Linked DNA regions of Ovis aries. The protein of the gene in region 6 interacts with the protein of the main gene of each other region in a pairwise test. Links are inferred from orthologs where the notes say so. Each region holds a gene or a part of one and is shown on either strand. Other genes may lie near its edges.

The links.
Region 1: the proteins of BIRC7 (region 6) and PHF1 interact in binary tests that used the Homo sapiens proteins (3 or more experiments, as listed by UniProt). The two-hybrid records come from large-scale screens. The link is inferred for Ovis aries from reciprocal best matches to the Homo sapiens genes BIRC7 and PHF1.
Region 2: the proteins of BIRC7 (region 6) and DDX6 interact in a two-hybrid assay, tested with the Homo sapiens proteins (3 studies listed by BioGRID and IntAct). The two-hybrid records come from large-scale screens. The link is inferred for Ovis aries from reciprocal best matches to the Homo sapiens genes BIRC7 and DDX6.
Region 3: the proteins of BIRC7 (region 6) and UBE2K interact in binary tests that used the Homo sapiens proteins (3 or more experiments, as listed by UniProt). The link is inferred for Ovis aries from reciprocal best matches to the Homo sapiens genes BIRC7 and UBE2K.
Region 4: the proteins of BIRC7 (region 6) and POLR1C interact in binary tests that used the Homo sapiens proteins (3 or more experiments, as listed by UniProt). The two-hybrid records come from large-scale screens. The link is inferred for Ovis aries from reciprocal best matches to the Homo sapiens genes BIRC7 and POLR1C.
Region 5: the proteins of BIRC7 (region 6) and CASP9 interact in binary tests that used the Homo sapiens proteins (3 or more experiments, as listed by UniProt). The two-hybrid records come from large-scale screens. The link is inferred for Ovis aries from reciprocal best matches to the Homo sapiens genes BIRC7 and CASP9.

The regions. Positions count from the first base shown.
Region 1 is NC_056073.1:7,741,185-7,746,082, forward strand, and holds the start of PHF1 (PHD finger protein 1), read left to right. Parts: upstream 1-1,544; 5' UTR 1,545-2,060; intron 2,061-2,795; 5' UTR 2,796-2,811; coding exon 2,812-2,970; intron 2,971-3,053; coding exon 3,054-3,135; intron 3,136-3,233; coding exon 3,234-3,329; intron 3,330-4,112; coding exon 4,113-4,213; intron 4,214-4,307; coding exon 4,308-4,456; intron 4,457-4,620; coding exon 4,621-4,716; intron 4,717-4,898. UniProt on the Homo sapiens protein: Polycomb group (PcG) that specifically binds histone H3 trimethylated at 'Lys-36' (H3K36me3) and recruits the PRC2 complex. Involved in DNA damage response and is recruited at double-strand breaks (DSBs).
Region 2 is NC_056068.1:29,108,557-29,113,001, forward strand, and holds part of DDX6 (probable ATP-dependent RNA helicase DDX6), read right to left. Parts: intron 3,885-4,445; coding exon 3,738-3,884; intron 2,027-3,737; coding exon 1,932-2,026; intron 573-1,931; coding exon 450-572; intron 36-449; coding exon 1-35.
Region 3 is NC_056059.1:59,505,137-59,510,040, forward strand, and holds the start of UBE2K (ubiquitin-conjugating enzyme E2 K), read left to right. Parts: upstream 1-1,556; 5' UTR 1,557-1,745; coding exon 1,746-1,808; intron 1,809-2,794; exon of another isoform or gene 2,795-2,872; intron 2,873-4,904. UniProt on the Homo sapiens protein: Accepts ubiquitin from the E1 complex and catalyzes its covalent attachment to other proteins. In vitro, in the presence or in the absence of BRCA1-BARD1 E3 ubiquitin-protein ligase complex, catalyzes the synthesis of 'Lys-48'-linked polyubiquitin chains.
Region 4 is NC_056073.1:17,057,553-17,062,792, forward strand, and holds the start of POLR1C (DNA-directed RNA polymerases I and III subunit RPAC1), read left to right. Parts: upstream 1-1,935; 5' UTR 1,936-1,956; coding exon 1,957-2,025; intron 2,026-2,144; coding exon 2,145-2,216; intron 2,217-5,240. Other genes in the region: protein YIPF3, read right to left, coding at 478-584, 767-964, 1,566-1,646. UniProt on the Homo sapiens protein: DNA-dependent RNA polymerase catalyzes the transcription of DNA into RNA using the four ribonucleoside triphosphates as substrates.
Region 5 is NC_056065.1:51,317,852-51,322,296, reverse strand, and holds part of CASP9 (caspase-9), read right to left. Parts: intron 3,224-4,445; coding exon 3,189-3,223; intron 2,106-3,188; coding exon 1,929-2,105; intron 1,298-1,928; coding exon 1,208-1,297; intron 48-1,207; coding exon 1-47. UniProt on the Homo sapiens protein: Involved in the activation cascade of caspases responsible for apoptosis execution. Binding of caspase-9 to Apaf-1 leads to activation of the protease which then cleaves and activates effector caspases caspase-3 (CASP3) or caspase-7 (CASP7).
Region 6 is NC_056066.1:54,021,049-54,026,200, forward strand, and holds the start of BIRC7 (baculoviral IAP repeat-containing protein 7), read right to left. Parts: upstream 3,030-5,152; 5' UTR 2,855-3,029; coding exon 2,500-2,854; intron 1,756-2,499; coding exon 1,656-1,755; intron 1,423-1,655; coding exon 1,341-1,422; intron 1,235-1,340; coding exon 1,189-1,234; intron 459-1,188; coding exon 255-458; intron 1-254.

The DNA.
Region 1 (4,898 bases), on a different chromosome or scaffold from region 6:
CAGATAGGTAAGATGGGATAAATGCTATATTCTTCATCAATTTTCACTATAAGTTGGTATCCTGGCAACTTCCAAAGGTGACCAGTGAGTTTTTATCCAGGAGGTAACATCTTGTACTTTTGGAATATATCATTTGAAGTCATTATTCTTTCTGATGCTCAAATTGCCTGCCTTTGGCCAGTGGAAGCTCCAACTTGGCTCCTGTGCCCTTTAGACAAGTTCTCAGTAGTCCTTTCTCCAGATTCATCTTGTACATTTCCTGCCCTAGACTGAAGATCATTAATTTTCTAAGGAGCTTTGGTTCCTACGTTTATGATGATGTGTTATCTAGCTTATTGAGCACTAGTGGTGGGAGGGCTTTGAGGGTGTCTAGAAGTGCCTTTCTCTGCTCCTGTGAGGGGCTTCTGTCCTTTCTCTGGCCTTTCCTCCTCTTCCAGATCTAGTGTGGACAGTGGGCGCGGGAGAACTGAGACCAGCCTGAACCTGCTTTCAGAGCCCTTATTTCAGGACTCTGAGGGCAGCCCTAACACTGAGGGTTCAGAGGTGATTTGGGGAAAACTTTTGGTTGCTCTGAAAATTTTTTTATCCTGTTTTGTCTAAATCCCCTGTCTGCAGGTGAACCAGTGTGTTATTGGCACAGCCCAGGCCAACAAGAAATGAAGATGGATCTAGATTGTGTGTGTGTATGTGTGAGACACACGGGGGGGGGGGGAGGGGGGTAGTGGGCGCTGATACCTGGGCCTATCAAATAAAGAAGAGAATTTTTTGTTGTTTTTAAATAAAGGTTTTATTAGCGGTTGTCCAATAAGGGGGGAGCTGTGGCTCTTCCATTCTGCCAAACGTCTGTGTCTCACGGGGACAGGGCTCCGGCTTTTCTAACGGGTCACTCCAGAGTCAGGGTGGCCCCCGCCCTGCTCCCGTCCCTATCCACGTCCGGGGGGTTGCGCGCACCAGGTGTCCAGTCACTAGTTCCGCTTCCTCCGGCACAGGCCACCCTCGCCCGGGGCAGGAACTCTTGAGTGCGGAAAGGTGGGAGTCCGGGGCGGGGCCGGCGCGTCCGCCCACAAGCTGCGGGCTCTCTCCTCCCGCTCTTTTCCTTCCCTTTCGAACCGCCGGGGCTAGCTCCGCCCGCCGCCATTGGCTGGCTCTCGGCGGCGTCACCGCCTCGGTCCGAGCTCTTCTAGTCGGTGCACCCGCCTCGGCCGCGCGGGGCGGGGCGCATAGGCTAACTCCCTCGCGCCAAGCGCCGAGGGCCGCCGCCCCGTCAGAGGGCTGGGTCTTCCCAGGTGCCGCGCGCGCGGGAGGGGTCGCGCGTGCGCAGAGGCGCGGCGACAGTGGGCGGGGTGGGGGCATCTAACTCCGGGGGGGCGGGGCCGGGGCAAAGGCGGGAGGAGGCGGAGCCCGCGGAGGCCGGGGCAAAGGCGGGAGGAGGCGGAGCCCGCGGGGCCGGGGCGGGGCGGGGGCCATGGGACGGGTGAATGGAGGGCGGGGTCGTGAACTGGAGCGCGGGGCGGGGCCCGGAGTGACCCTGCGGGGCCGGGGGCAGTTAACGGATGTGGCGCGGGGCGGCGGCCCGGCCGGCGGCCTAGCGGGGGATTCCCTCCTGCCCCGAGGGCAGGCCTCTCTCCGGAGGAAGGGGCTGCGGGGATTCCCTCTCCCGCCGGGTCCGCGAGCCCGCCCGCCCCATCCACGGAGACGCTCCCACTCGCTCCGCGCCCTCCAGGCCCGCTGGCGGTGAGGGAGGTGGGGTGAGGAGGTGCCCGCCCCCCCGGCTCCTCCTTCCCCCCGCCCTCCCCTCCCTCCACCCTCCCCCCGAGCAGGTTTGTCCCTCCCCTCCCCTCCCCTCCTTCCCCCCGCCGCCTCCTCCTGCCGCTGCCGCTGCTTTGGCTGCTGCGTCATACGCCCCAGAGCCGCCGGGACGGAGGGGCTGGGCCTGGGGACCCCCCGGTCTCTGCCTGCACGCCCCCCCGACGCCCAGCCGTGCCCTCCCCGCGCGGGGGTTTCACCTCAGTCTCCCACGTCTGCCTCTGCCCGGCTCCCGGCGGCCCCAGCTGTCACTGGTAAGGAGGCGGCGGGAGGCGCCCGTGGGGGGGCAGGGAGCCGGGGGTCGGCGCGCAGGGCGCGGGCGGGAGAGCCGCGCCGCCCGGGCGGCGGGTCGGGCTGGGCCGACTCAAGCCCCCTCTCCCACTCGCCGTCCTGGGGAGAAGAGACCCGGACTGGGACACGCCCCCCTCCCGGGGCACTCAGGGAAGTTCTCTAACCCGGGGGCAGGGAGCCCCGAATTTGAGGGTGACCTGACATAACCTAGCACCAAGATGATTGTTCTGAATGAGACACGGGGGCCCCGGAGGCAACCTTTTCCACTCGAAAACATCTCCAGAAAAAGCTCCCAAAACACGTCTCTGGGAAACAGCACCCCAATTGTAATACCTCTATAAACAGCGGTAGAAGGTGACAGTAGAAACTGAGTGGCAACCTTTGCCTCTGCAACCATCCTTTTTGCTAAAATCTCAAGGCCGGGATACAACGTCCCAGGGGAGCTCTGGCAGCTGGGAAACTAGAGAACTAGGTTGGTGGGGTGGGGGGACGGTGGGGAGAAGAGAACCACTGGTGACTGTTGGGAGAGCTGGAGTCAGGAAGGCCCAAGGGGTGCCCAGGGGTTTCCTACCCAGGTGTCTCAGGGAAATGGAGGCTGGGCACACCTGCTCAAGCCTTTGACAGAAAAACAGGCAAAGAAAATGGGGGCTAGTTCCTCAATATTGGTAACTTTCTCCTACCATCTCACTTCTAACTAGGCCCCCCCAGGATGCAATGGCACAGCCCCCCCGGCTGAGCCGCTCTGGTGCCCCCCCACTTTGGGACCCAGCTTCTCCTGCTCCCACCTCAGGCCCCCGGCCTCGACTTTGGGAGGGTCAAGATGTGCTGGCCAGATGGACAGATGGGCTGCTATACTTGGGGACCATCAAAAAGGTATGACCTCTGACCTGTCACCTTTTCTCATTCCCCTTATCTAGTCTGATTCCTGTTCCATCTTCTGTGCTCACCCATTCCAGGTGGACAGTGCTCGGGAGGTGTGTTTGGTTCAGTTTGAGGATGATTCCCAGTTTCTGGTTCTATGGAAAGACATTAGCCCTGGTGAGAAGCCTGAGAATGGATCCAAGGGAAAACAAACCTGGCATGGGGGACAGAAAGGGGCTGGAGGACAGGCCCTCTGACACTCTGTTCTCTCACAGCGGCCCTCCCTGGGGAGGAACTCCTCTGCTGTGTATGTCGCTCTGAGACTGTGGTCCCTGGGAACCGGCTGGTCAGCTGTGAGAAGTGTCGCCATGGTGGGTGAGAGGGCAGGACACCTGAATGGTCTAGCTTGCCCTAGGTCTACCAGGGTGCTTCTGATCCTTCTCTCCAGCTCTGGTCCTTATACTGTCTGTCCTGGTCTGAGTCCCCAAGCCACTGCTCTGAGCAGTCTCCACAAGCCTGTAACCTCACTCCCTGCCAGCACAGGGAGGGGCAGCCTTGGGATGGGATGCATGAGCTCTGCGGGCAGAGGGTGTGAGTGAGCAAAAGTCTCTCAGTTGTGTCTGACTCTTTGCTACCCCATGAAAAGTACAGTCCATGGAATTCTCCAGGCCAGGATACTAGAGTGGGTAGTCTTTCCCTTTTCGAGGGAATCTTCCCCACCCAGGGATCAAACCCAGGTTCCCCACATTGCAGGCAGAATTTTTACTAGCTGAGCCACAAGGGAAGCCCAAGCACAAGAATACTGGAGTGTGTAGCCTATACCTTTTCCAGGGGATCTTCCTGACCCAGAAGTTGAACCAGGGTCTCCTGCATTGCAGGTGTTCTTTACCAACTGAGCTATCAAGGAAGTCCCAGATGCAGGCAGAGGGTAGTTCCAGTACGGCTTTTTCTAACCATTTGACCTTGGGCAAGTCCCTAAACTTCTAAGAATCACAGCTGCCTCACCTGCTTTTAAAATAAAGATAATACACCCACCTTACCAGGACCATGGTCAAGAACAAAATGAGATGGGGTTAAGACTCTTGTCCCAATACCTAGCGCGCACAGGTACGCAATGCAATAAGTGGTCTACTGTCAATATTCTCATTATTCAGCTTATCACCAGGACTGCCACGTTCCAAGGGCTCCAGCCCCTGGAGAGGGAGAGGGCGCATCCTGGGTCTGCCGCCAGTGCGTCTTTGCCATCGCCACCAAGGTAAGGGCCCCTCCCTGTGGGACCTCCAACTCTCAGCCTCTCCTGGACCCTTCCTTCCTCCACCCCTGAGGCCACCTGTCTGTTCCACCTGCAGAGGGGGGGTGCACTGAAGAAGGGCCCCTACGCCCGGGCCATGCTGGGCATGAAGCTCTCCCTGCCATATGGACTGAAGGGGTTGGACTGGGACGCTGGACATCTGAGCAACCGCCAGCAGAGCTACTGTTACTGTGGTGGCCCTGGGGAGTGAGTAGTGAGGGGCGGGGGGCTAGGGAACAAGTGATGGGGGTGGGAACAAAGGAGAATGGCAGGGTGGTAGGAGTGCTGAAGGGGGCGGGAGAGTGGTGAGCAGGGTTTGGGGCGGTTAAGGAGGGTGTGTCTGGGGGGTCACTGGTCCCGTTTCACTTCAGGTGGAACCTGAAGATGCTGCAGTGCCGGAGCTGCCTGCAGTGGTTCCACGAGGCCTGCACCCAGTGTCTGAGCAAGCCCCTCCTGTACGGGGACAGGTGAGCCTGGGCAGACCCTCCAGGAGCTCTGCCCCCCATCCCAGACCAGGTTGTCTTCCTGAGCTCTGAAGCCTTGCCTACTGGTTAGCCCCATCCTTGCTCGGAACACCCCCACCCCCACCCCCGTGGGCAGGTGTAGTTTCCTGTAAAAGGTGTATTCTCTCCCTCTTGCCTACGTCCAG
Region 2 (4,445 bases), on a different chromosome or scaffold from region 6:
AGGTTAATCTCATAGGGTTTCTGCAAATGGGAATTCTGAAGGGGAAAAAAAAAAAGTATCATAGTTAAAGCAGAGTTTATTTCTTTAAATAAACTTTAACTCAAAATATATCCTCATACATGTCTGTCTGATAAACTCTTAATTGAAGGGATGCGGCTCTCTTTAAAATATATAATCTGTCATTACCATAAAATGGGAGATCTAATGTCCAGATATACAGCTAAGTTATTACTATTTTGTACTTTAAATATAAGATTATGCTGCAATCAATTTATCTAGCATCAATGGCTATGTCAGACACCAGCTTAATGAACAAATAAAAATCAAAATACTTCGGTATCTTAAAACTTGAAACCAGCATAAAATATACACTAGTAATATAATTATGGATAAAGGTATACTCATGGCCAACAGGAAGGTACTGCTTCTAAGTACAGATTTATACTCACCATGAACTTCTGTACACTAAGAGGGAAAGTAGCAGAATATAATAAAATCTGTCTGTTTTTAGGTAGCGTGAGAATAATATCCTCCATTATCTGCACAAAATCCTGTGACAGCAACTTATCTGCCTGCAGTACAAAGAGAAGATGATCTTAAACACAATGAAATCATGTCTATGGTTTTTTGTTAATAAGGAATCAATCATTCCAGCAAGAGAGTTCACAGAATGTTCCTGGCTGTAAACACTATATAGTCCAAAGGCACCAAGACACATTCAGTGATACAAAAAAAGGGAAAGTCTGTAATACTGATCTAAGGGAAAAAAAATCCTAGACAGACATAATCCTTATTCTCATAAAAAATTTTAATGTGATTTCCATTAAAGAGACATTATGGTATAATAGTTAGAAGTACAGGCTACATCATTAAACTACCTGTATTTAAAACTTGTCAGGGATACAGTTTTTTGAGGCAGAAGGAGGGTGTGTTTCCCTTTGCCTGGCAAATAATAAAAGCTATCCTTTTCTACTTCACCCCCTCACACACACAAACAAAAAACTTGCTTCCTTCGCTATTATCTATGTTGGGAGGTTTCTTAACTTCTATTTCAGTTTCCACAATTTAAAAATCAAGATGTCTTCTTATTGTAGGAATTACTTTCTAGGATAACTACCTTATAGGATTGTTGTAAAAATTCAATGAAAAAACATGTAAAGCACTTAGTGCTAACACAGTCACTAATAACTGTGCTCTCTCATTACTCAAAGATAAAAACCTGTTTCAAATTAGACCAAGAGGAAACGGATCCAGTTATCTTAAAACAGACCAAATAGGAAAATAACTTCATTTCAAAACATCAACACTGGGGGGTGTGGGGGTGCTCAAGGAGAGAAGCCTGGAGCCTGATGTACAGCAAAAACAATGTAACACTGTGAAGCTATTATCTTTCAATTAAAAATTTAAAAACCCAAAACATCAACACTGATTGAATATACATATAAAACACTTGCTTGCTAGGTCCCAAGAATGCAGAGCTAAGTTCTCAAAAGGCACTTATAGTCTGGTGAGAGAACACATATAACAGAGACAAAAAACCAAACAATACCAAATTGAGTATGTTAAATGAGGGGTTTTTAAGATGCCTTTTTTTTAACATGCTTTTTAAGATCAATCACAGAATGAAGACAGATGTAGAATGGCCTTGGCTTTGAGGTTATTCAATGACTTCTCAGTGCAAAATAAAAATAAACTATCTGACTTCCCTAAGAAAAAGACACAAGGCTGAATCATTCCTATAAACACCTATCACCTATTGCTTTTAAAAGGCAAAACATGTTTTAGAAGCAAGTTATTTTGAACAAACCAACAAGAGTAATGAATTTACTAGAAGGTCTTAAACACAAAGAGGTTATCCTTCATTCATTGGCAGTTATAAACAAAGCCAAATCAGTACAGAATGGTATGTTTCCAAATGAAAAAAATGTTACCTCATCCAATACTATCATCTGGACATGATCAACTTTTGCTACGCCTTTCTTGATAAGATCCAGGATTCTTCCAGGGGTAGCTATCACCACATGCACTACACAAGATTAGAAAACATGTATTTTCATTAATTTTAGTTGGGGCAAAAAGGATACAGTAAAGGTTTATCACATACATAGTGTATCAGAAACACTGCTGTAGGAATAATACAAAGAGGCCAAGATGTATTTTAGAATATGGATTTCCATCTCATCTTCAGTTGGCTAGAGAATACCAGTTAGTTTCACCTCTGCATGCAGTGGGCTACAGCTTTCCAATTCACCTGTTCCAAATAAGGAACATAGTTTTTTGTCTGAGGGAAACCCCCAGGGAAAAACAAAAAGTATGCCGAACTTTTGATATAGCTGCTGCTGCTAAGTCACTTCAGTCGTGATACAGCAGCTTGCCTCTAATAGATCAATGGTCTGCAGAAGACTGTAACAGGATCAAGTAAGATGATCATTTTTAATTAACAAGGCAGTATAAAGAATATAGTAATTAAACTAATCAAGTAACAATCATATATAAAATCCTGACTAAAATTCAATGTATAACTAAATGGATTTCAACTCTTGCTGTTTTCTTTTTTTCACTAAATAATGTTATCATGGAGAACTCTTCATGAAAATGAATACAGATCAGCTGCACTCTTTAATGGCTATGTGGCATTCCATTCAGTCTATACCCCAGTATATTTAGCCAAATTTCCCTGATATTGTTCCAGTTTTTCGGTACTACAAACCACACTGTAGTGGACAACCTTGCATTTGTCCAATCATTTCTTCAAAAAAAGATCATTAAAAACATACATGTATAATTTTGAAACATAATGCCAAATTGCCCACCATAGAGATTGTATCAATCTATACCCCTATGTTGCAAGACAACAAATTTCTTCACAAATGCATATTCAGTTCAGTTCAGTCACTCAGTCGTGTCCGACTCTTGGTGACCCCATGAATTGCAGCACGCCAGGCCTCCCTGTCCATCACCAACTCCTGGAGTTCACTCAAACTCATGTCCATCGAGTCAGTGATGCCATCCAGCCATCTCATCCTCTGTCATCCCCTTCTCCTGCCCCCAATCCCTCCCAGCATCAGTCTTTTCCAATGAGTCAACTCTTAGCATGAGGTGGCCAAAGTATTGGAGTTTCAGCTTTAGCATCATTCCTTCCAAAGAAATCCCAGGGCTGATCTCCTTCAGAATGGATTGGTTGGATCTCCTTGCAATCCAAGGGACTCTCAAGAGTCTTCTCCAACACCACAGTACAAAAGCATCAATTCTTCGGCGCTCAGCCTTCTTCACAGTCCAACTCTCACATCCATACATGACCACTGGAAAAACCATAGCCTTGACTAGACGGACCTTAGTCGACAAAGTAATGTCTCTGCTTTTGAATATGCTATCTAGGTTGGTCATAACTTTTCTTCCAAGGAGTAAGCGTCTTTTAATTTCATGGCTGCAATCACCATCTGCAGTGATTTTGGATTACTAATTAGCCTTTCCAATCTTAATTAATCTTGTCAATCAGATAGGTACAATATCAATTTACTGTTTTTATATGCAATTTAAAAAATTACTAGTAAGGTTAAATATCCTTCCAATGACTAAAATAATTTTTTTCTTCTTGACTGAAATGGTCATTTCCTTTATTCATTTTTCTACTGCAATGTTTGTTCCCTATTTTAAAAACAATTTTAATAAATTACTGAAACACTTGTGTGTCAAATTACAGACAGCAAGCCAGCTTGTATCCAATCATTTCTTACCTGTATCATCAAGCCTCATTATGTCATCCCGTAAATTGGTTCCTCCTGTGGTTGCCATCACTTTGGCCCCTCCCATGTGTTTGCTGACCTGGATGCAAATTTGACTGACCTGTAGAGCAAGTTCTCTAGTGGGAACAATCACCATTGCTGGAAAATATCAACAAACAGAAAAAAGGAGAGAGGAGGGGGGAAAAGCCATATTTTAAGAGTTTAAGAAGCTATAGAAATATTGCCCCTTGTAATCAAGACACTCAAATGAATAAATTTCAAAAAAAGAAACTATTATAGTGTACCAGATTTAGACTTCTCCTCAGTAACAATGCTATACAATTCTTCTACTCTTCCTGGTTACAAAGCCTTAAAGGGTTCTTTGAGTTGGCAATTATTAACTCAAAATTTGTTAGTATTTTAGTAAGAGATCACTAGTCAAAATGCCCAAATAGGAAACTCCTGCTGCCCAGTTCTACTTATATCATATGAACATAATAGGAAGATGGCAGAAATAATTATAGATCAAGAAACCATGGGGAGAAAAAAACTGAAAACTTTACAAAAAGCTTTAGAGGTGAAAACATAGATCTACTGGGTACAGTTACGGAAATGTGTCTCTTCCATACTACTTAAGATTTTAAAATCCCCAAGCCACAAGGCTTCAGAGAGAAAAAGTTCCTGCTTTTACAAGGAACTCTGCAGACACAGCTGTCACAA
Region 3 (4,904 bases), on a different chromosome or scaffold from region 6:
GGCACAAATACACATAGCATTGCAACACTTATACATTATACCATTTTATTGTGCCATGGCCCACATGTATAGTTGGTTCGCCTTAGGACCACTAGGGGGCTCTGCTGGAAGGGTTTTTATAGTTCTTCCGTTTAGGGGAATGTTTCCAGATGCTTTAGAATTCTAAACTCTTAAAACTTGGAGGAGATCATCTCATCCAGCTTCCTTATCTTGCAGAAGAGGAAACCAAGGTTGAAGAGAGAGAGCTGGTATGGAAGGGGGCTGGAATTTAAAATCCCCTCTTGGTTCCTGCGGCAGTTCAAGAAATTCTTTTCTTGCCATGTGCCTCCACTGAATGACTCATACCCAGGGGCTTATTTTTTTTTACTGCCACAATTTTGGTAATTTTTGCTAAGACGGTGTATTCGTGATATTTTCCTAACAGGATGCTTTACTGATTAGTTAGGTGAAAGAAATGCATGAAATATAAACTTCTAAATAAATATTTATTACAAAATGTTTTCTACTCAAAGCATCCCTTAGTATCAAAACCATATTACTGGAAGCCCTAAACCACTTTTCAATTGCCTTTCAAATTTACTTCTCACTTAAAACATTTACTCTTTACTCATTTATTCATTCAATATTCATTGAGTGCCTACTAGCACTAGCCACTGTTACTCTAGGCTTACAGAAGTAAAGCTGCCCTTCCCCCCCAAGAGGGATAGGTTTCTCCAGTTTTCCCTATATATTCAGTTACTGAACATATCTTAGTTCAGTGGTTTTCATACTGTGGTCTCTGAACCAGCAGCACCTGGGAACTTGCTAAAAATGCAAATTAGGCCCACCTTACACTCTTTTGTTTTTTCTTAAGCTCTCCAGGGATCCTGATGTACATTCAAGTTTTAAAGCTATGGTTTTAGTTCCACGGCTTGTTATTATCTAAGTAGGCCAAAGATCAACATCTGGCTTCTAAACTCATCTCAGGCATCTCCACTGAGACCCGGTCTCAATTACAACTGAGATACAACAATGACCATACTTAATTTAATGATTTGTTGTACCTGGAAAGATCCTGGGATGACTGCAGTAATAGAACTGTAACGGCTGCAGGACAAAAACGAACCGCAGTGGCTTTTCAGAACCAACAGAAAATGGGCCAGACCGAGTTCCCGGACAGTGTTTTCCGACACTAGACACAGCCGGATACATTAAGCCCGTGGTCTGGCTGAGTCAGGGCGGCGCTCCAAGCTTAGAGGGGCCGCGTGAACCCGTCAGGTTGGACTCGAACCTTCGGCTAGAGGCGAAGGTCTGGAAGCCTCCACCGTACCACCTACGTTCATACAGGGGCGGAGGCGCCGGAGACGACCCGTGAGGCCCGGGAAGCCCTGGCCCGCGCGGAAGCCGCACCCTCCTGGCTCCAGACGCCGACAGGGCGGAGCCACGCGGCCGCAGCTCAGGCAGAGACGCGCCGCACAGCGCGGCGCAGGTTCGCGGCTAAGGCGTATGGGGCTACAACGGGAGCGGCTGCGCCGCCGGGCCGGGTCAGCGTCGTGCGCATGCGCGGACCCGGCGCCATTTTGGTGGCCGGGCGCGGAGGTGATTCCACACTGAAGATAGTGCGGCGGCCGGGGTGGCAGTGGCAGCGTTCGTGTGCTCGGGTGTGAATCGCCGGGGGAGGAGGCGGTGGAGGAAGAGGTGGCGGCGGTGGCGGTGGTCGTAGCGGTGGCGGAGGAGGCGGGTACGAATCAGCTGCGGGCGGAGACATGGCCAACATCGCGGTGCAGCGAATCAAGCGGGAGTTCAAGGAGGTGCTGAAGAGCGAGGAGGTCAGAAATGAACTCCCGGACGTCCCCCACATCAGCCCAGGGCGGGAGGGCCCTTCCGGTGGCAATCCCAATATCCCTGGTAACCCCCGGTTGGCCTTCTTTGCGGCCGCCCTTCTGCCTGTGGGGAAGCAGCAGTCTCCCCCCTCCTTCCGCCGCCTTCCCCTCCCCTCCCCGGGCCCTGGGATGGACGGTCTCGCGGGCGGGGGGTCTGGGGAGGAATAAGGTTTAAGGGGCAGATGGAGAAAGGGCGCTTATCGTCGGGTGTGAGCTCTAGAGAGCGCCCCACGGCAGTGGCAACAGCTGGAAGTGTGGCTGTAGGGTGGGGAGGTAGCAGGCCGAGCCTGAGAAAACCCGGGAAGTGGGTTGGGGGAAGGGGAAAGGTGGTAACTGGATCCGGAGAGCCGCGTCGCTCAAAGGCCCACACTTTTCAGGGTATTCTGGGTTATGGCCGGTCTGGCTGCCACCCTCCTTTCCTTACCGAAGGAGTGATTGATGAGAGAAGGATGTTCGGAGTTAACTCCCTCTCGGTTGGGTGTTGGGAGAAAAGAGAAGACATAATGGGGTACTAGCTTATTTGAGTGGGCGATAAGGGAATTTTCACCAGAGATAGAAAATTAATTCCGTATTAGACTATTATCTCATTTCCACTTACTCCGACATTCTAGGCGTCTTTTTCGATTGACATCTGAAGCTTTTTGACTAGGTAAAGGCACGTTCGGTATATTAAATACGTTTAAATATTTTTAGCTAAGATAAGGAAAAAATAGTGGAGTGTATGAGTAGCTTATTTCAAAATACTGTTTACAAGTTATAGATGAGAGAGTCTGTCCTAAGACAATGCCTCTGTGACACTGTTGTGTTGTGCCATTTGTGCCATGAAACTTCATTATGATGTCCCCATAGTTAGTTCTTACTTTTGAAAAAGTGTCCTACTTAAAAACATGAGATTTCGGATTAATACATTGTTATGTTTCTTTATTAAGTAGGTTTATTCCAACATATATCTGAAATGATGAAAAATTTTTGTCTCAAGCTACTACTCTTCAGTCCTGTAGAAATTTTAGGTACGCTGATATTGGCCACATTTGTTAATATATTTTAAATGTTTCGGTAATTTGACTCAAAATTATGAAAGTATAGTACATTTTTCACACCCATAATCAACAGGAATGCTAGTTTGTTTTTCCTCCTTGGACTCAACAAAGATTAAAAATACTGAATGGTTATTTTCAAGATGTCAAATATCGTTATCGAATATATTATTGCTATTTGTGCTTTTCTCTTATTTGTGAAATTCAGCATTCTAAGTATGTGATGAGTTATTGACAAGTCTGATAGCAAGCACTTGAACTTTATTTGTGCCACTGAATCTGAAGTGATTTTGTGTCTTTACAGATAGACGTGGAGAAGATTCTTTAAAATTATTTAAAAATGCCAAATCCTAGCAGATTTATTGAATATAATAGTATATAAGTAATGATTGGTTTTACAGAGCATGTGTATAAACTCTGACCTCTGTATTTGTTCAAGTGCCAAAACTCTGAATGGAAGGATGACTTTGTGTTTTTGTGGTACAGTGCAGAAAAAGAATCATAAATACCTGCACTGTGATATATAGTGAGACAGTGATTCTAAATTTTTCTTTAGTAAGAAAAGATTTTCCAGGATACTTGACATATATCTTCCTAATGAAAGTTTGCAGCTAGTATTATTGCCAGTAGCCTAGAACATTTCTTCTGTAGTACGGTTGTACAAGCCTGAAACTTAGTATAAGACTTTAATGCTTTATTTTCTATTACTTAAAAGTATAAGTAATTCGTATAGTCTCTGCATTATGTGAAGTGACTTTTCACCATGATATTCTTACTACTTGAAGTTTAAAAGAAATCTTGTATTGCTCTAGTAATGCATATTGTTAAAATAATACAGCTTTTTATATATGAGCAATGAATGATGAAACCTTGTTTCAAGTAAGTGATGTAGTGTTTCAGAGGAAGAAAACAAAATCCAAACAGGAAAATTATTTTTTTAAGAACAGTGTCTGTATAAATCTGGAATGAAACTTCTTCCAGAAAGAACATTTAGGAAATGTAATTCAACTAATTACAGATAATTTAATATTGGAATTTATAACCAATAAATAGCTTTATTTTCACCAATATATTTTATTTCATTGATACTTAAGTCCAATTCTATAGGTGTATTATGTTGATTATTTTCAGTACGTTGAAGTACAGTCCACATGTTTCCTTTTTATGTATGTAAATGCAGTATTTGAGTGGCTGGTATAATTAAGTATTTCCTCATGTCATCTATGTAAATCTTCATTTTACCAAAGTTTATTTCATATTTTTGTGTTTACTAAGAATCTTGATTGATTTTAAGGATTTCCCCTCCCCCTTTTAAGTGTCTTTGTAAAGATAGCTTACATCTGGCGGTAAGAAGTTGTAAATGGCCACTGTTGGAGTGTGTTGTTAATTAAAATACAGCCTCAAGATAAATTAAATGTGGAAAGTACAGGATAGAATCAGTGAGAAGAGGCCACCATTAGTGTCAGAAGTAGGGAAGTATGTGTATTTGTATAGGTGAAAGGATTAAGGAGAAATTGGTAACATTGTTTCTCTGTAGAAGAATTGGGTGTCTGGGGCAACAGGGATCAAAAGAATCCTTTTGAATTTTGAATCATGCTAATATGTTATTTACTAAAAATAAATAAGCCATGTAGGCCTTTTTTCCATGAAACTGTGTTTGAAAATCTGTCACTTGTCTGAGATATTAATTTATTTAAATCTGTAGAAGTAATATTTCAAAGTTGCAAGGAATAGAAAATTGATTTACAGTACACTTAATAGGTGTATTTTTAGTTGAATTACATAAGTGAATTGTAGCTTATGAGGACGGAGTAAAGCTATAATCTGTACTCATAGAGGTTATATTATTATTTATTATAAATTGTTACTGGTATTAACAACCACCATTTGTAAAGGAACTAGCAGCTCCATTTGTTTATATACATTACTGCTAATTCTCAAGAACAGGTCCTTGAATTAGATTTTTTATTTCTTACATGAGAAAATTGAGATTCAGAAAAGTTAA
Region 4 (5,240 bases), on a different chromosome or scaffold from region 6:
AGGATGAACAAAGAACCAAGCCAAGATTAAATCCAGTTCTTGAAGTCATTCAACAACTATGTACTGATATTCAGATTCAGAGGCTGTTCTGGTCCTGAGAATTTAAAAGTAAACAAAACAGAGCCTGCTTCTGAGGAAGTCTTTGGAAAGAGAGACCCAGGAATAAGGAAGTACAGCACTGCTGACATGTTACCTGGGAGAAGTGCAGAGAGCCCTGCTGGAGCACGAGGAAAGGACAAACCGGGTAGGGGGAGCAAAGGAAGTGACATTTGAGCCAAGCTTTGAGGGAAGATGAACAGTTTATTAGATGGAGAAGAGGAGGAAGGCAGTGTGTTATCACTACGCCCTGTTCTATGACAAGAGGAATGGTGTGGCTGGGTCATAACAAGGCGAGTCTAAGGGTTTGATGTCCGGTTGTAGTTTGGATGAAGGACTGGGTGTTAGGAGGGCAGTTTCTGTCAGGAGGAGGAGCCTCACCTGCTTCGCACCTGGGCTGGCTCCACATCAAAGTAGGGTCTCAGGATGTCGATGTTGGCATACAAGCTGAAGGCTCTGGAGGCTTGTCTCTTCCCTGCCTGCCACATCTATAGCAAGGAAGATGGGTGGGGTGAAAGGGTGCTGTCAAACTCTTGGCTCTATGTTACTTATTTTTTATCTGATTTCAAAATGGTGTGAACTGGACAACCTGGGGTGGACTTCACCAACTCCAGAACCAGAGGTCTCCTCGGTATACTTTTCCACCTGTCAGGGAGCCAACTGTGCTTACCTGATCAGCCACCTGCCGGCTCAGCTGTCCCTTAAAGCCCTTCATCCCCAGGAACTCCCCATCCTCTTCTTCAGCAGCAGCTGCATCAGCATCCACTTCTTCCTCACGCAGGCGCTGATGCAGCTCACCCATGTCCTCGAAGCTGGAGCCTGAGGTATCATCCATGTTCTCCATGTCAATCACTGCTGAGCCCCCACCCTGTGAAGACAACAGACCCTAGAGTGCAGGACCTTTCTGCTTCGTCCAGTTGAGTCCTTCTCCGTTCACCACAAGGTTTGGGGCTAGGGGACTTGAAATCGCCACAGATGACGCCACTCTCTTCTCCTCATTTGGTCTCAGAACCCCTGCTTGTTTGGTGCTCTGTTCTAGTCTGGGGAACCTAGTCCCTGTCTTCCATACACGGCTTTTTCCTACCTTCCCTACCAAGGCCCCAAAGGGCTGCAAAGTGCCCATTTCCTTCATCTCTCCCAACCCCAAAACAAGGCTATGCGCACCAAGTGTGGTTTTGGCTAGTGAATCCCATCCACCCCCAAGCCCACTCCCGCCATGCCTGTCTCCGACTGACTTTCCTAAACTTGTGGAAAGCAAGAGCAATTGGGCCCAGATACCTAAGGCCCCTGGCTGGAGTACCAGTCTGGAGCTTTAAGACCAGCACTAGCCCCACTGCCTTTCTTGTGCACGAAGACTCAAAAGAAGATAAAAAGTGTTGCAAATGGACCAGACTTCCAGGCTCTGAGGGAGAGTTCAGGGCGGCTGCCGGCCCAGGGGCTGCGGGCAGCCGGAGCCGTGGGGCCATTACCTGGATGTTTTCTTCGAACCCTCCCCATTCCGGGCCGGTCCCGTTTCGGGCGCCGCCAGCCGGCGCCGCCGGAGTTGCCATGTCCCTCGAGGGCTCCCGTCGCTGAAGCCCGTGCTTGTCCCGCGCGCGGAGGAGGAGTGGGAGAGATGCGGGCCTGAGAAAGGGACAGGTCTAGGGACAAGAAAGAAAGGTACTATGGGTCGGAATGCAAAAAAAGGAGAAACCCGGATGTTTGGCTCAAACCAACTTCCGGTAGCTGGGGACGTGGACGGAGGCAAGGCACAGTCTCGCGATATTTAAGATTCTAGGAGGTGCGTTGCTACAGAAACGGAGGCGGACGACTAGTGCGCACGCATCAGTTAGGTACTCTGGTCACGTGGAGGAGTTGAAGATGGCGGCGGCCCAGGCTGTGGAGGAAATGAGGACCCGCGTGGTTCTAGGGGAGTTTGGGGTTCGCAATGTAAGTCTTGTGGCCTTCAGCTCGGGAGCAGAGTGAATCAGGGATGAGTTGGCGTCAGAGTGGGGACGGGCTTGGCCTCGCTGCCCCTTCGCAGACATTCTCGTCTCTCTTTGCTCTAGGTTCATACCACTGACTTTCCCGGTAACTATTGCGGCTACGATGATGCCTGGGACCAGGACCGCTTTGAGAAGGTAGGTGGAGCTGGAACTGTGGGATCGGACTTTGTGATATGAGCAACCTGTGCCTTAGAAGCTGTCCTTGTAATTTCCAAGGCGCAGCAGAAAAGGGCAGCTTGCAGCAAGGGGCAGAGGGCGGTAGCTGGAAGCGGGGTTGTAGCTTCCCCCACCGGTAGTCCTAACTACGACCACAGGAGCCAGCAGTTAGGGCTAGAGTCCCTAGTCCTTGTCTGCCTAGTCAAGAACGAATTCAGGCGAGGAGGCAGAAGGTACAGAGTAAAGTACGAAGTTGATTGAAAAGAGAAGTACATGTAGAAAGGCACACGGGCAGGACCCTCCCATGGGATGCACACTCACCTCTTAGCCAAGATGGATCTGGAAGTGAAGGCTTCTGGGAAGAGCAAGACTCGTTATGGCCTGAATTATCCTCTGACTTTTGACCCCAAGTAGCCTTTCTGCACTTGTGATGTATCTTCCTTATCCTAAAAAGGGGGAAGCGGAGATCCCTTAATCCTTACTCAGACGAGGGATTTCGCCTTGCTTTGTTCTTGCTATAATTATTTCTTCAAGATATTTACTAGAGACAAAGACTGTTGACTCTGTTTCTGTTCTCTCTTCGTTTCTGGAGGGCAAACAGGAGGCTGATAGGAAATTCCTCAGCTGGAGCCCGTCTGTCTCCTGCCATACTTGTGATGTGGGACATGCTAAAGTAAAGGTCCAGGTTCTTATTCTACCTGTCCAAAGTGCAAAAAAATGTCACACAGAGAAACTGAGGTGTAGAGAGAACAAAGAAGCAATTTATTAAGGAGAAGGGAAAGCAGGCACTCACAGAAGAATACGAGTGTCCACACGAGTGAGGAGACCACCTGAGGGTCTTTCTAGCCCCACTCCATTATTTTAATTCCTTGAATGGGTGCAGGTTTCTTTGTTGTTGTTCTTCAGTTGCTCAGTTGGGTCTGACTTTGTGACCCCAGGGAATGCAGCACGACAAGCTTCCCTGTCGTTCAGTATCTCCTGGAGTTTGCTCAAACTCATGTCCATTGAGTCAGTGATACCATCCAACCATCTCATCCTCTGTCACCCACTTCTCCTCTTGCCCTCAATCTTTCCCAGCATCACTCGTTTGCAGTGAGTCAGCTCTTGGCATTGCGTGGCCAAAGTATTGGAGCTTCAGCTTCAGCCTCAGTCCTTCAATGAATGTTCAGGGTTTATTTCTTCTAGGATTGACTGGTTTGATCATTTGATCTTCCTTGTTGTCTAAGGAACTCTCAAGAGTCTTCTCCAGCACCACAATTCGAAGGCATCAATTCTTTGGCACTCAGCTTTCTCTCACATCCATGCACGGCTACTGGAAAAACCATAGCTGTGACTATATGGACCTTTGTCAGCAAAGTGATGTCTCTGCTTTTTAATGTGCTGTCTAGCTTTGTCATAGCTTTTCTTCCAAGGAGCAAGTGTCTTTCAAGGCTGCAGTCACCGTCTGCAGTAACTTTGGAGCCCAAGAAAATGAAGTCTGTCACTGTTACCATTTTTTCCCCGTTTGTCTGTCATGAAATGATGGTTCAGATGCCATGATCTTAGTTTTTTGAATGTTGAGTTTTAAGCCAGCTTTTTCACTCTTCTCTTTCACTTTCATCAAGAGGCTGTTTAGTTCCTCTTCGGTTTCTGCCGTTAGGATCGTGTCACCTACGTATCTGAGGTTATTGATATTTCTCCCAGCAATCTTGACTGCAGCTTGTGCTTCATCTAGTACTCTGCATATAAGTTAAATAAGCAGGGTGACAATACACAGCCTTGACGTCCTCCTTCCCCAATTTTGAACCAGTCCATTGTTCCATCTCCAGTTCTGACTGTTGCTTCTGGATCTGCATACAGGTTTTTCAGGAGGCAGGCAATGTGGTCTGGTATTCTCATCTCTTTAATTTTCCACAGTTGTGATCCACACAGTCAAAGGCTTTAGCTTACTCATTGAAGCAGAAGTAAATGTTTTTCTGGACTTCTCTTGCTTTTTCTATGATCCAGAGGATGTTGGCAATTTGGCCTCTAGTTCCTCTGCCTTTTCTAAATCCAGCTTGAACATCTGGAAGTTCTTGGTTCACATACCATTGAAGCCTAGCTTGGGGAATTTTGAGCATAATTTTGCTGGCATGTGAAACGACTGCAGTTGTGCAGTAGTTTGGACATTGTTTGGCATTGCCTTTCTTTGGGATTGGAATGAAAACTGACCTTTTCCAGTCTTGTGGTCACTGCTTAGTTTTTCCAAATTTGCTGGCATATTGAGTGCTGTACTTTAACAGCATCATCTTTTAGGCTTTTAAATAGTTCAACTGGAATTCCATCACCTCCACTAGCCTTGCTCATAGTAATGCTTCTTAAGGCCCACTTGACTTATTTGATTAGGGACGGTCTATTTATTATTGGGAGGATGGGTGGTTATAACAGCTTCTCTTGTGCATCTGTCTCCTAAAGCCACCACACTAAGAGCTTTCCCCCCTTTAATTTTCCCTTGGAGTGAAACACCAGGTTGTATAGAACCTTTATTGCGCATGCTTGGCCAAGCTCTGTTGGGTTACTAGTCAGGGTTTCCGATATAGGTGTCACAAAGTTTAATCAAGGTTTAATTCCTATTCCTGATGCCACTTCTCCATGCTTCATCTCATTCAGTGCAAAACAAGGAGAGGTGGCTTTGCCTTTTGCCTAATGTCTGTGTATGATGAGGCCAACATAAACAAATGACTCCAGTGTAATGTGGCAAAGGCAGCTGAAAGTAAAAAAAGATGATGGCGGTAGGGTGGAGGTCGGGATTTTTTTGGGGGGTATCCCACACAGACACTTAATCCAGAATGGGAATGGGGAGCAGAGGTATGGAAGATTTCCTGAAGGAGGTGACATCTAAGTTCGGCCTTGAACAAGGAGCAGAGGCTGAGGAGTGTGTAAGCAGCTCAGTGGTAGGCAAGATTGAAGTGCATTTTAGGCACCAGAGGTGATAGGGAGCTCTGGAAGAGTTCTTAAGCAAGTAGGATCATATCTGCAAGCTTA
Region 5 (4,445 bases), on a different chromosome or scaffold from region 6:
CATCCGTCTGTGCCATAAACAGCCCCTGGGAACTGGCGGTGGCTGGCCTAGAAGACCAAGAACTCTGGTGACAAACCCAAGAAGTTACGGTAGGAATCCAATGGCCTGTTTGTGCAGAGGCTTTGTGGGGACCAAGCATTTAGAAGGTTCCACCAGGGGCACAAGGCTGAGTGAAACACAGCAGGTTGGTCCTGGGCAGCCTCAATTCCAAGGGTCTCAAACTCACATGCCTATAAGCACCAGATAGCCTAACTCAAGAACACTGGCCAGCTTCCTCTAGACTGGTTGTTCTCAAAGTGTGGTCCCTGGACCAGCAGCATCAGCATCACCTGGAAACTTACAAGACATGCAAATTTTCCCAAATCAGAAACCTGGGTAGTGGGGACCAGAAATCTAGCCCTTCAGGTACCTCTGTTACAGCTAAACTGAGAATGACTATGCTAGAACAATTCCTCTTAAACTTTGTGTTTACAAGGGTCTTGTTAAGGTACAGGCTCTGAATGAGAACCTACATTCTCCTGAGCTGCCAGGCGATGCCCATGCTGCTGTCCAGAGGCCACACTGTGAATGAAAGGACCAAAGGGGTGGCCCCAGCCCAGCCACAGGCCAGAATTTTGCTCTTTGAGGATAAGGGCCTGATGGGTCAGACCTTTGTGGTTTTTCAGGACAAGCTGAAAATCATGACTTCCGTGCTACAGTCGCCAGTTTTGAAAACACTGTACAATCCACTGGGGTTGTTACCTCTGCTCTGTCCAGCCCTTCAACTCAAAAGATGAGGACACTGAGGCCCAGAAAGGGGGAAGAGTCTTGGCCACCATGACCCAGCACATTAGTGGTCAAGGCCAGAGTGGGTCCCAGCGTCCCAAACTCATAGCCAGCACCAAAGGGCCCGGAACAACATTCAGCAGGACCAAGACAGGAGCTGGAAGCTCTTGTAAGCTGTGCCCGGCTCAGAACAAAATCCAGCTTACCTCTTCCTGACTCTCCCAGATGGTTTCTCCCAGGGTCGCAGCCCTCCCACCCAGGAGGAGCACCCAACCCCTCAGAGGGCCAAGTGGCTTCTGAGAAAACAGCAGGAGGTGGACAGGGCCCTGTGGCTCTTCCCACAAAGGCCAGGGGGTCTTGGACACAGGAAGGGACGAGGCTCCTGCAGGGCCTCTCGGGGCAGCCTTCCTGGGCGCCTGCTAGAGAAGGTGAGCCCACCAACCTGACAGCCGTGAGAGAGGATGACCACCACGCAGCAGTCCAGAGCGCCGTGGTCCCGCCGCGCCAGCTGCGTCAAAGCCTGGACCATTTGCTACAAGAGAGGGCCGGGGGTGAGCCCGACCACTGATGGACCAGGTCCTCATCCTCGGCCAGTCCCCTGCTCCCAGGGCCAGTCGTGAAGTAAGGACAGTCACAGTGATCACAGGAGAAGACAGGGGAAGAGATGCTGGGCTGGGCACTCTGTCTACTCCTACAATGTCCCTGGTGGCTCAGACGGTAAAGAATCTCCCTGCAATACAGGAGACCTGGATTCGACCTCTGGGTCGGGAAGACCCTGGAGGAGGAAATGGCAACCCACTCCAGCACTCTTGCCTGGAGAATTCCATGGGCAGAGGAGCCTGGTGGGCTACAGTCCATGGAGTCACAAAGAGTCAGACATGACTGAGCGACTAACACTTACCTAACCCAACCGTAGGACATGAGCATGGGTCTCGATTTATAGATAGAGAAGCTCAGGGTCGGGAGTCACACAGGGAGTTGGGGAGTCAGTCCTCAACCCGGGTCTCCGAGTCTGGAGCTTTCGCTGGTAACCAGTGAGCCACACTGCCTCTTGCGGTCCTACAGACTGAAGGGCTCGTCTCGGGGAGTCGCTGGCTTTCAGGGGCCCTCTCTAGGACACTAGCCCATGAGCCCCCATTTCTGTCCGTGCGTAGGGCCCGTACCTTGGCAGTCAGGTCACATCTCACCTCCACCGCCAACTGCAGCAGGTGGAAGCGCCGCTGCATCCTCTCACAGTCGATGTTGGAGCCCGTGCGGGTCATGAGCCCCGACTCACGGCAGAAGTTCACGTTGTTGATGATCAGGCAGTGGCCGCAGGGGTCTGCGTTCAGGACATAGGCCTGCCCAAGCAGAGGGACCAGCGTAAACCAGGGCCTCGCTGCACTCCTCGGGAGAGAAGGCGACCCCCTGGGTCTCACCCACGGGGAGGGCAGTCTGGAGAGATGGGACAGAGCCCGCAGTCTGCCTCCCTCTGAAGCGGGTGTCTGGCATCCACACCACACACACGCAGCTGTGTGATGGATGATCAGCTAAACCTGGGACAGAAGATTAGCTCCCCTCAGAGTACTCAGGATGGAACCGCTAGCTGAGAAATCCAGCTCCCCTAGACACTGACCTCCAAAGGACCAACAGGTCGCCCAGTCCTGGAGAGTACTGACAATCGCGTGATCAGCTCTGCTGGCAGACTCCTGCCCAAGCCACCCTTGAAGAGTCTGAGGCCACTTCCTCTCAAGGTTCAATGTTTCTCTAGTAATTCTCTCTCACAGCAGCCTGGGTTTTTTTTGCTGTTCCTGGTGGCTCAGAGGTTAAAGCGTCTGCCTGCAATGCGGGAGACCTGGGTTCCATCCCCGGGTGGGGAAGATCCCCTGGAGAAGGAAATGGCAACCCACTCCAGTATTCTTGCCTGAAGAATCCCATGGATGGAGGAGCCTGGTGGACTACAGTCCCCACGGTTGCAAAGATTCGGGCATGACTGAGCGGCTTCACTCACTCACACTCACAATATTTACACTTATATATTTCTTTGTGTGACTAGTCTCACTAGGCTGATGGCTCCATGAGGGCTAGAAACTTGAGTGGTTGGTTCCCAGGTGTCCTAGCGCAAAGTCCAGGCTGACACAGGGAAGTCACACAATAAATACTGTGACTGAGACAGGGAGTGACTTGGTCCAGGATAGGTGCCACAGCCGATTCTCACACTGACCCCTACTTAGATCTAACCCAACTTCACAGATGAGGAAAGGGCAGGGTTAGACGATCTGCTTCAGGACAGCTGTACCAGGGTCAGGGTGCTATAGGAGGTTCAGGACTGAGCTGGGCTGAGCTCCTGGGGCTCCTGACACAGCTGCAGGAAGGACCTGGGAAGCAGAGAGCGGAAGAGCAGAAAGCCAACACAATCGGCTCCAAATGACATGAAGACTCACCAGATCGGCATTTCCCTTGGCTCTGTCCTGAGGACCTGGAGAGAGAAAGAGGGAAAACGTGAATGTCAGGGTCCAACAGGGAAGGGACAAGGGACCCTGTGAGGACACCTCCCACAGAAACATAGAAACGCAGAAGAGCAGGAACACAGGAACTCCTGGGGACTGCTGGTGAAGTTAAGTGGCACAGCCACCTTGGGGAACTATTGAGAAGTTTCCAGGGCTTTCCCTGGTGGTACAGTGGATAAGGATCCACTTGCCAACGCAGGGGACACAGGTTTTATCCCTGGGATGCACCACAATGACTGACGACTGTGCACCTAGAGCCCTGCTCCACCACAAGAGCAGCCCCTGCAATGAGAAGCCCGTTGCGCCACAACAAGAGCAGCCCCTACTCGCCTCGACTAGAGAAAGGCCACGCACAGCAGCGAAGACCCAGCACAGCCAAAAATAAATAAATAGTTTTTTAAGACTTTTTTTTTTTTAAAAAAAGAAGTTTCCAATAAGGTTGAACACACACCTACTCTCCGACCAGCAACTCTACTCCCAGGTACAGAGCCAAGAGAAATGAGCACAGTGAGCACCAAACAACTTGGCCATGAATGATCATCAAAGCCTTATTCATACTCCCCAAACTAGAAACAACCCAAACATCCACCAGCAAGTGGATGGGTAAGGCAACTGTGACACAACTATACAAAGGGACACGACAGAGCTTAAAAAGGAAGGAGGTACATGCAACACCATGGATAACTGCAAAAACACCATTCTGAGTTTTTAAACAGCCGGCAGAGTGCATACGGTGTGATTCCATTTATGCGAAATTCTAGAACAGAGAGACATAGGGAAGCTCCAGGTCTGTTCCCTCTCTGTGGAATCCAAGGAGGCCAGCACGCAGTAAACTGAAAGTGAAAGTGAAAGCCGCTCAGTCGTGTCCGACTGTGCAACCCCATGGTCTATACAGTCCATGGAATTCCAGCACATACCAAATAGCTGAAGGTCCTCACCAAATAGCTCAATAATGAATAAAGGAGTAAAGGTGTTATTTTTCTTTCAGTATCAAAAGAGTTTTCATTTCAATTAGCAAGAAGTCAACTGACCACCAACCTACAACGTTATGGGACTTTTTCTTTTTTAAATAAATAGACATTGACCATCACCCAGTCATGCCAGAGACTATACTCATGATCCAACCATGGTGCCATGCATTGCTCAGAGCGGGCCTGGACTTTGTTAGGAGCTATTCTTTTGCCAGTTCAA
Region 6 (5,152 bases):
ACAGACGTGAGGCTCCCAGGGGACCTGAGGCCCAGCCCCCAGCCAACAGGCCACAGGCAGTGTCTAGCCCCAGCTCCCCCGCCCACAGCACACCAGTGTCCCAGAGTCTACTTTCCACCAGAACTCTGCCTGTTCAGCCCCTTGTGCAGTGGTGATGGATGCTCTGTGCCCGGCACCATGGGGGCAGCAGGGGCATCTGTGCCCAGAGGGAATAAGGAAGGAGAGGTGGGCTGTGCCCAGAGACAGGAACATACCTCTGGCCCCCACCACCCGGCCCCCGTCCTCTTCCTGGAGCAGGTCGGCTACCAGTTGCGACGTGGACATGCCGGTCAGCGCCATCTGGTGGTACTTGCGCTGCAGCAGCCCTTGCACTTGGCCCGGCCTGAAGCCCATGCGAAGCACGGCCTGGACTGCTGGGCACTGGCTCCATGCTGGCCACCCCTGGCCGCCCCCCACATCTGCAAGGCAGAACGAGGGGTGCTGGGCCAAGGGCAGGCAGGGGCTGCGGCCTCAGGGTCCCAGCAGAGACAGCGGCCGGCCACTGTGGCCCGTCAGCAGGGCCACGTCGTCATTACAAGGGGCCCTGGCGCCATCACGGCCGCTGCCTCTGTGTCCAGAGTTGTGTTCCCAGGGCCTTTGTCAGAGGTGCCACGCACAGGGAAGACGTAAACCTGATCACAGAAGCTGACTAAGAGCCGGGTACTGCTCCCAGGGTGGCACACAGACTCTTGTTTGATCCCAGGTGAGGTTGGCACCAGGCCCACTTCACAGCTCAGGGCACTGAAGCTCAGGTAGCGCAGTATGGACCCAAGCCTGGAGCCCCTCAGACCCTGGGCACCGACAGAGGGCAGAGGGCCGGACTCTGTGTGATGGGGACAGCGACCGGTCAGCTCTCAGGCATGGTTGGCTGATGGCAGCCTGTCCCTCTATGTCCCTCTGCCCTTCTCAGGGCTGGCCATGCCCACGGCAGCCAGTTCAGGGGTAGCAGGGGCCTCTCCAGAGCCTGGGACACACGCGCAATGCCTGTGTGAAGCCCCCCAGTGAAGCAAGCCCAAGCAGCACACCCGCAGGCCCAGCCAAGCAACCTTCACTCTCCTGCTGTCTGCAGGCAGCACACCCAGTGGAGCCGGCCGTGGTGCGGGCCAAGGTGCCCAAGGGAGCCAACACAGGCCTCGCATCCCGGCTCACCTGAGGGGGTGGCAGGACCCACATCTTCCGGTTCCTCCGACCGGTCCTGGAAGAAGTCAGAGAAACCCTGTGCCCCGAGCAGGTGAAGGAGCAGGGCTGGGGCAGGCCCCTCACCACCACCCCCTGAAGCCCTAAGGGCAGGAAGGACTCACCCAGGAGCCCGGTGGGCAGCAACAGGACTCCTGAACCCTGCAGACAAAGTCCCTTCCTTTTGTCCGGAGCAGGAACTCACACCTGAGGAAAGCGGATTCAGACATGACAGCCTAGAGGCTTGGGCTGTCAGAGGACCCCGCACTGTCCAGGTTGAGCCAGGGGACCCCTGCTTCCCGCCGGGTGGTGGGCTTTCTGGGAAGCTGTTTTGGAGACAGAGTCTTGAACATCAAGGGAGAACTAGAAGTGCTGTCCCCAGAGAGTCCCCCCATCCTGGTTCCCCGAGACACCCTGGGACTGGGGAGGGGAGGTGGTACCTGGGGAACCATCTGGCATGCTCGGTCCAGGGGTCGTCGCCTCGCTCCCAGCTCTGCAGACCCCCGTAGCAGAAGAAGCACCTCACCTTGTCCTGCTGGCCTGGGGTGGAGCCGAGACACTGGTCTTGACCACACTGGGTCCCTTGTATGGCTGGGGGCTTCCCCCCTGGGCTGGGGTCAGGGCTCCCAGGTGGCCTTTCCTTCTAGGGCAGGGCTCTCTGGGGTTATTTGTGAGCCTTGGGGGCTCCCACTGGCCTTCGCCATCACTTTGCCTGGCATTCTCCTTGGAATTCACATTCACTCCATTTCTCAAAGGTGGGATGGGGGGGTACCATGCTTGGGGCACTTGCCAGGATCCAGGTGCGTGTTAGGGAAGGGGAGGTGGGGGAAACCCTGGTGTCCCCACCCTGCACTTCTGCCCCAGGTGCCTCCTCTTAGGATGGATTCCCAGTGATGGAAAGAAGGGGGGCTGTGTGCTTCCAGGCTTGGTTTTAGAAGCTCACAACTCCTTAAACGGGAACGGGGACCTCATCTCTCTACCCCTGTGGCTGTCACCCCTGCCTCATCCCCTACAATCAACAGATTTGGAGCAGAGACCTCAGATCAGGGGCTGCTACAGCCATCCCACACCACCAGCCCTCTGAGAGCTCTCCCTGGACCCCGGGACCAGTGGATACCCCACACCTCCCGTTCCTCCTCCTGGCACCTCTGACACCAACACTGTCCCCCCAGCACAGGTCTAACTGCTCCATGCTGTTCTGGCGTCTCCCCAGGTCTGAAGCACAAAAGAGACTGTAGGGCAGGGAGCAGGTGTAGAAGGGCCGTGGGGACCCCCGGGACTCACCAGTGTGGAAGAAGCCCGCAGCGGCCAGCAACTCCGGCGGTACCACGGCACTCAGCGGCCAGTCGTAGAAGGAGGCCAGCCGCAGCTCCTCTGAGCCCATCCCGGGGAAGGCAGGCCTCGGTGCCAGAGCAGCACCATCTTCCTCCTCCTCCTCTGCCAGGGGGCGCAGCTGGCCCAGGATCTGCCCATCCATGTGGTCCTGGCCTCCCCAGGACAGGGCGCTGTCAGTGCCCTGGCCCCGGGGGTTGCAGAGAGAGTGGGGTCCATGTTGCCCCCGAGGGGGACGGCTGCCAGCTGCCCAGTGGCTTGGCTCTGGGCCATAGCACCAGCACTTGGTCCTGTCCTCAAGCCCCATAACGAAGACAGCAGCCCCGACGAGTTGTGACGAGTGATGGCCCTGGGCGGTCAGTTCTGGAATGTGCCCAGCCAGCCCGCCCCAGCCTCCTGACCCCTGTGTCTTGCTGGGGGACAGCAGTGGCCTTTACTCCAACAGTAGGGCAGTAACAGTCCTGCCCGCCCAGATGCCCTGGGTGGGGGAGCAGCCAGGGGCCGCTGGGGCCCGCCACTTTCTGGAAGGGGCCAGCGTGGCAGCCCGTGTCACATGCTCGCTGCAGCGGGACTGTGTCACGGGGCCCCTGGCGGAGGCCTCAGCAACAGGGCCACCACAGTGGGGGCAGTGGTTCTCACTATCTTCTGCAGGACAGGGTGGGGTCTCTTGGCACAAAGGGAGGGACTAGAGCAGAAGGAACTCTCCCAAGGCAGCAGAGGGCTGGTTCTGGCTCTAGGACCTTAGTGGGGGAGGGGCAGGGGTGGGTTATGCTCCCTGTTATGCTTGGGTTATGCTCCTGGTTCCTGGGCTGGGAGCCAGGGGGGCCTCTGAAAGCAGAAGGTTCCAGATGACAGTCAGTGCTGCCTGGGGAGGGGAGGGCAGCACCCACTACAGGGACGTGGGGCAGCCACGGACCCAGGGGCGCCTAGTGAAGGGCTGGACCTGGGTTCTGGAGTGGATTACCTGGATGTTCTCAGAACCCTGGAGCCCAAATGGGCCCAGGCCATCCCTGTGCCTGGTCCAGCTGGGCAGGAGGCCCTCTGCAGGCCATGCAGCGGCTCCTGTCCTTGGGCCTTGAAGGTTCTGTCTCGTCCCTCAGCCTTAGCCTCCAAGAGATCCGGAGGGGAAGCCACACACAGTAAGGTCAGTCTTCCCATTTGAACTGCATCCCCGAGGCACTGTGGCCCAGTCACCAGAGTCCACAAGTAGTCATCAGGGGTGACCAAATCACCCTTCTCTGAGCTTGGCACCCTGTCTTCCCCCTCCCTGCTAGGTGTGTGCCCAGCTAGCCTAGGGAGCCCCAGCTCCTGGTCTGGGGGCCCCCGGGTGGCTCCAGGCTCAAGTAAAAGCCATTGGCCACATGGGGGTCCTCCTTCTCTGGATGGGCTGCCCTCAAACCTGGTCAGAGCCCAGGCTCAAGGGCCCCAGTGTCCCCAAACCCACCAGTGAGAGAAGATGGGGAGGACTGTAACCCTGGTGGGCAAAGCAGGGTCCCAAGGACAGAAAGGCTCCAAGGTGGAAGGGACAAAGAGGAAGACCAGATAGGGTGCGGGCCCTGCCCCGCACAGCCCCCTCCCTGGAGCACAAACCTCCTCCTTGCTCCCTAGAGCAGGGCAAAGGGGAACAGGTTCTGTGGGACCCTGATAAGGGCTGGGGAGGAGGGGCTCACCGGCCTCCATGCCGGACTGGCAGGGTGGGCCAGGCACAGTGAGGGTCACAAAGAGGGTGGATGGAGGGGTGTTCTCACCCAGGCCTGCAGCCCTGCCATGTCCCCCGAGCAACCCTCAAACCATCACCACCCCACTGGGCATGGAGCCGCATGAACCCAGCACAGACCAAGGAGCCCAGGCCTGCATCCTATTCCTGGGTGGGGGGCGGGCTGCAGTCTCACCCTCAAGGGGATCCCATAGGCATCCTGGCTGCACCAGCCGCTCAGCCCCATGTGGCCAGGGTCCCATGGAGTCCTGGGAATCCTCTCCTAGCAGCAGCCTGAGCCACCTGGCTCCCTGCAGCTGCCCAGCGGCATGGCCCTGGGCTCCGGGTTTGCCTGCAGGAAACCCTAGTGAAGTATGTGGCTGGGTGCCTGTACCCCTCCGAGGCTCCTGAGCCTGGGCTGCCCATCCTGGTTGGTGGACCATGGGATGAGGGGTGAACAGGCAACTGGAAAATGTGGGCTGAGTCTCCCAGGACACATGGGCCCCAGCCTCAGGATCCTGGTCCTCGCCCTCTCTACTCCAGTTCCCCAGCGTGTGTGGAAACATTGCCACCTCTAGTCACTCCAGCAAAACTCAGGAGTGCCACATTGGGACAGCCCTCTGCCCTGCCCACCCCCACCCTTTGGTGGATGGGGAGGAGGACCAGAGTTCCCAGGTGCTGGCTCTCCAACCACTCCTATCTCAGCAGGGAAATCACAGCCCCCAGGTTTGCTCTGAACCCTCTGGAGGTGGGGACTGGCCAGTCCGAGAACCCTCTGAGATGGACTGGCAGCAGGGGCAGCGACCCCCAGAGGCATGTCTACAGTCTGTTCCCTCAGATCCTGAAGTTTGGGGGCTGGGAGAGGAGAAACAAGCTCCCATACTTCTGAAAATTCCAAACATGCATTCT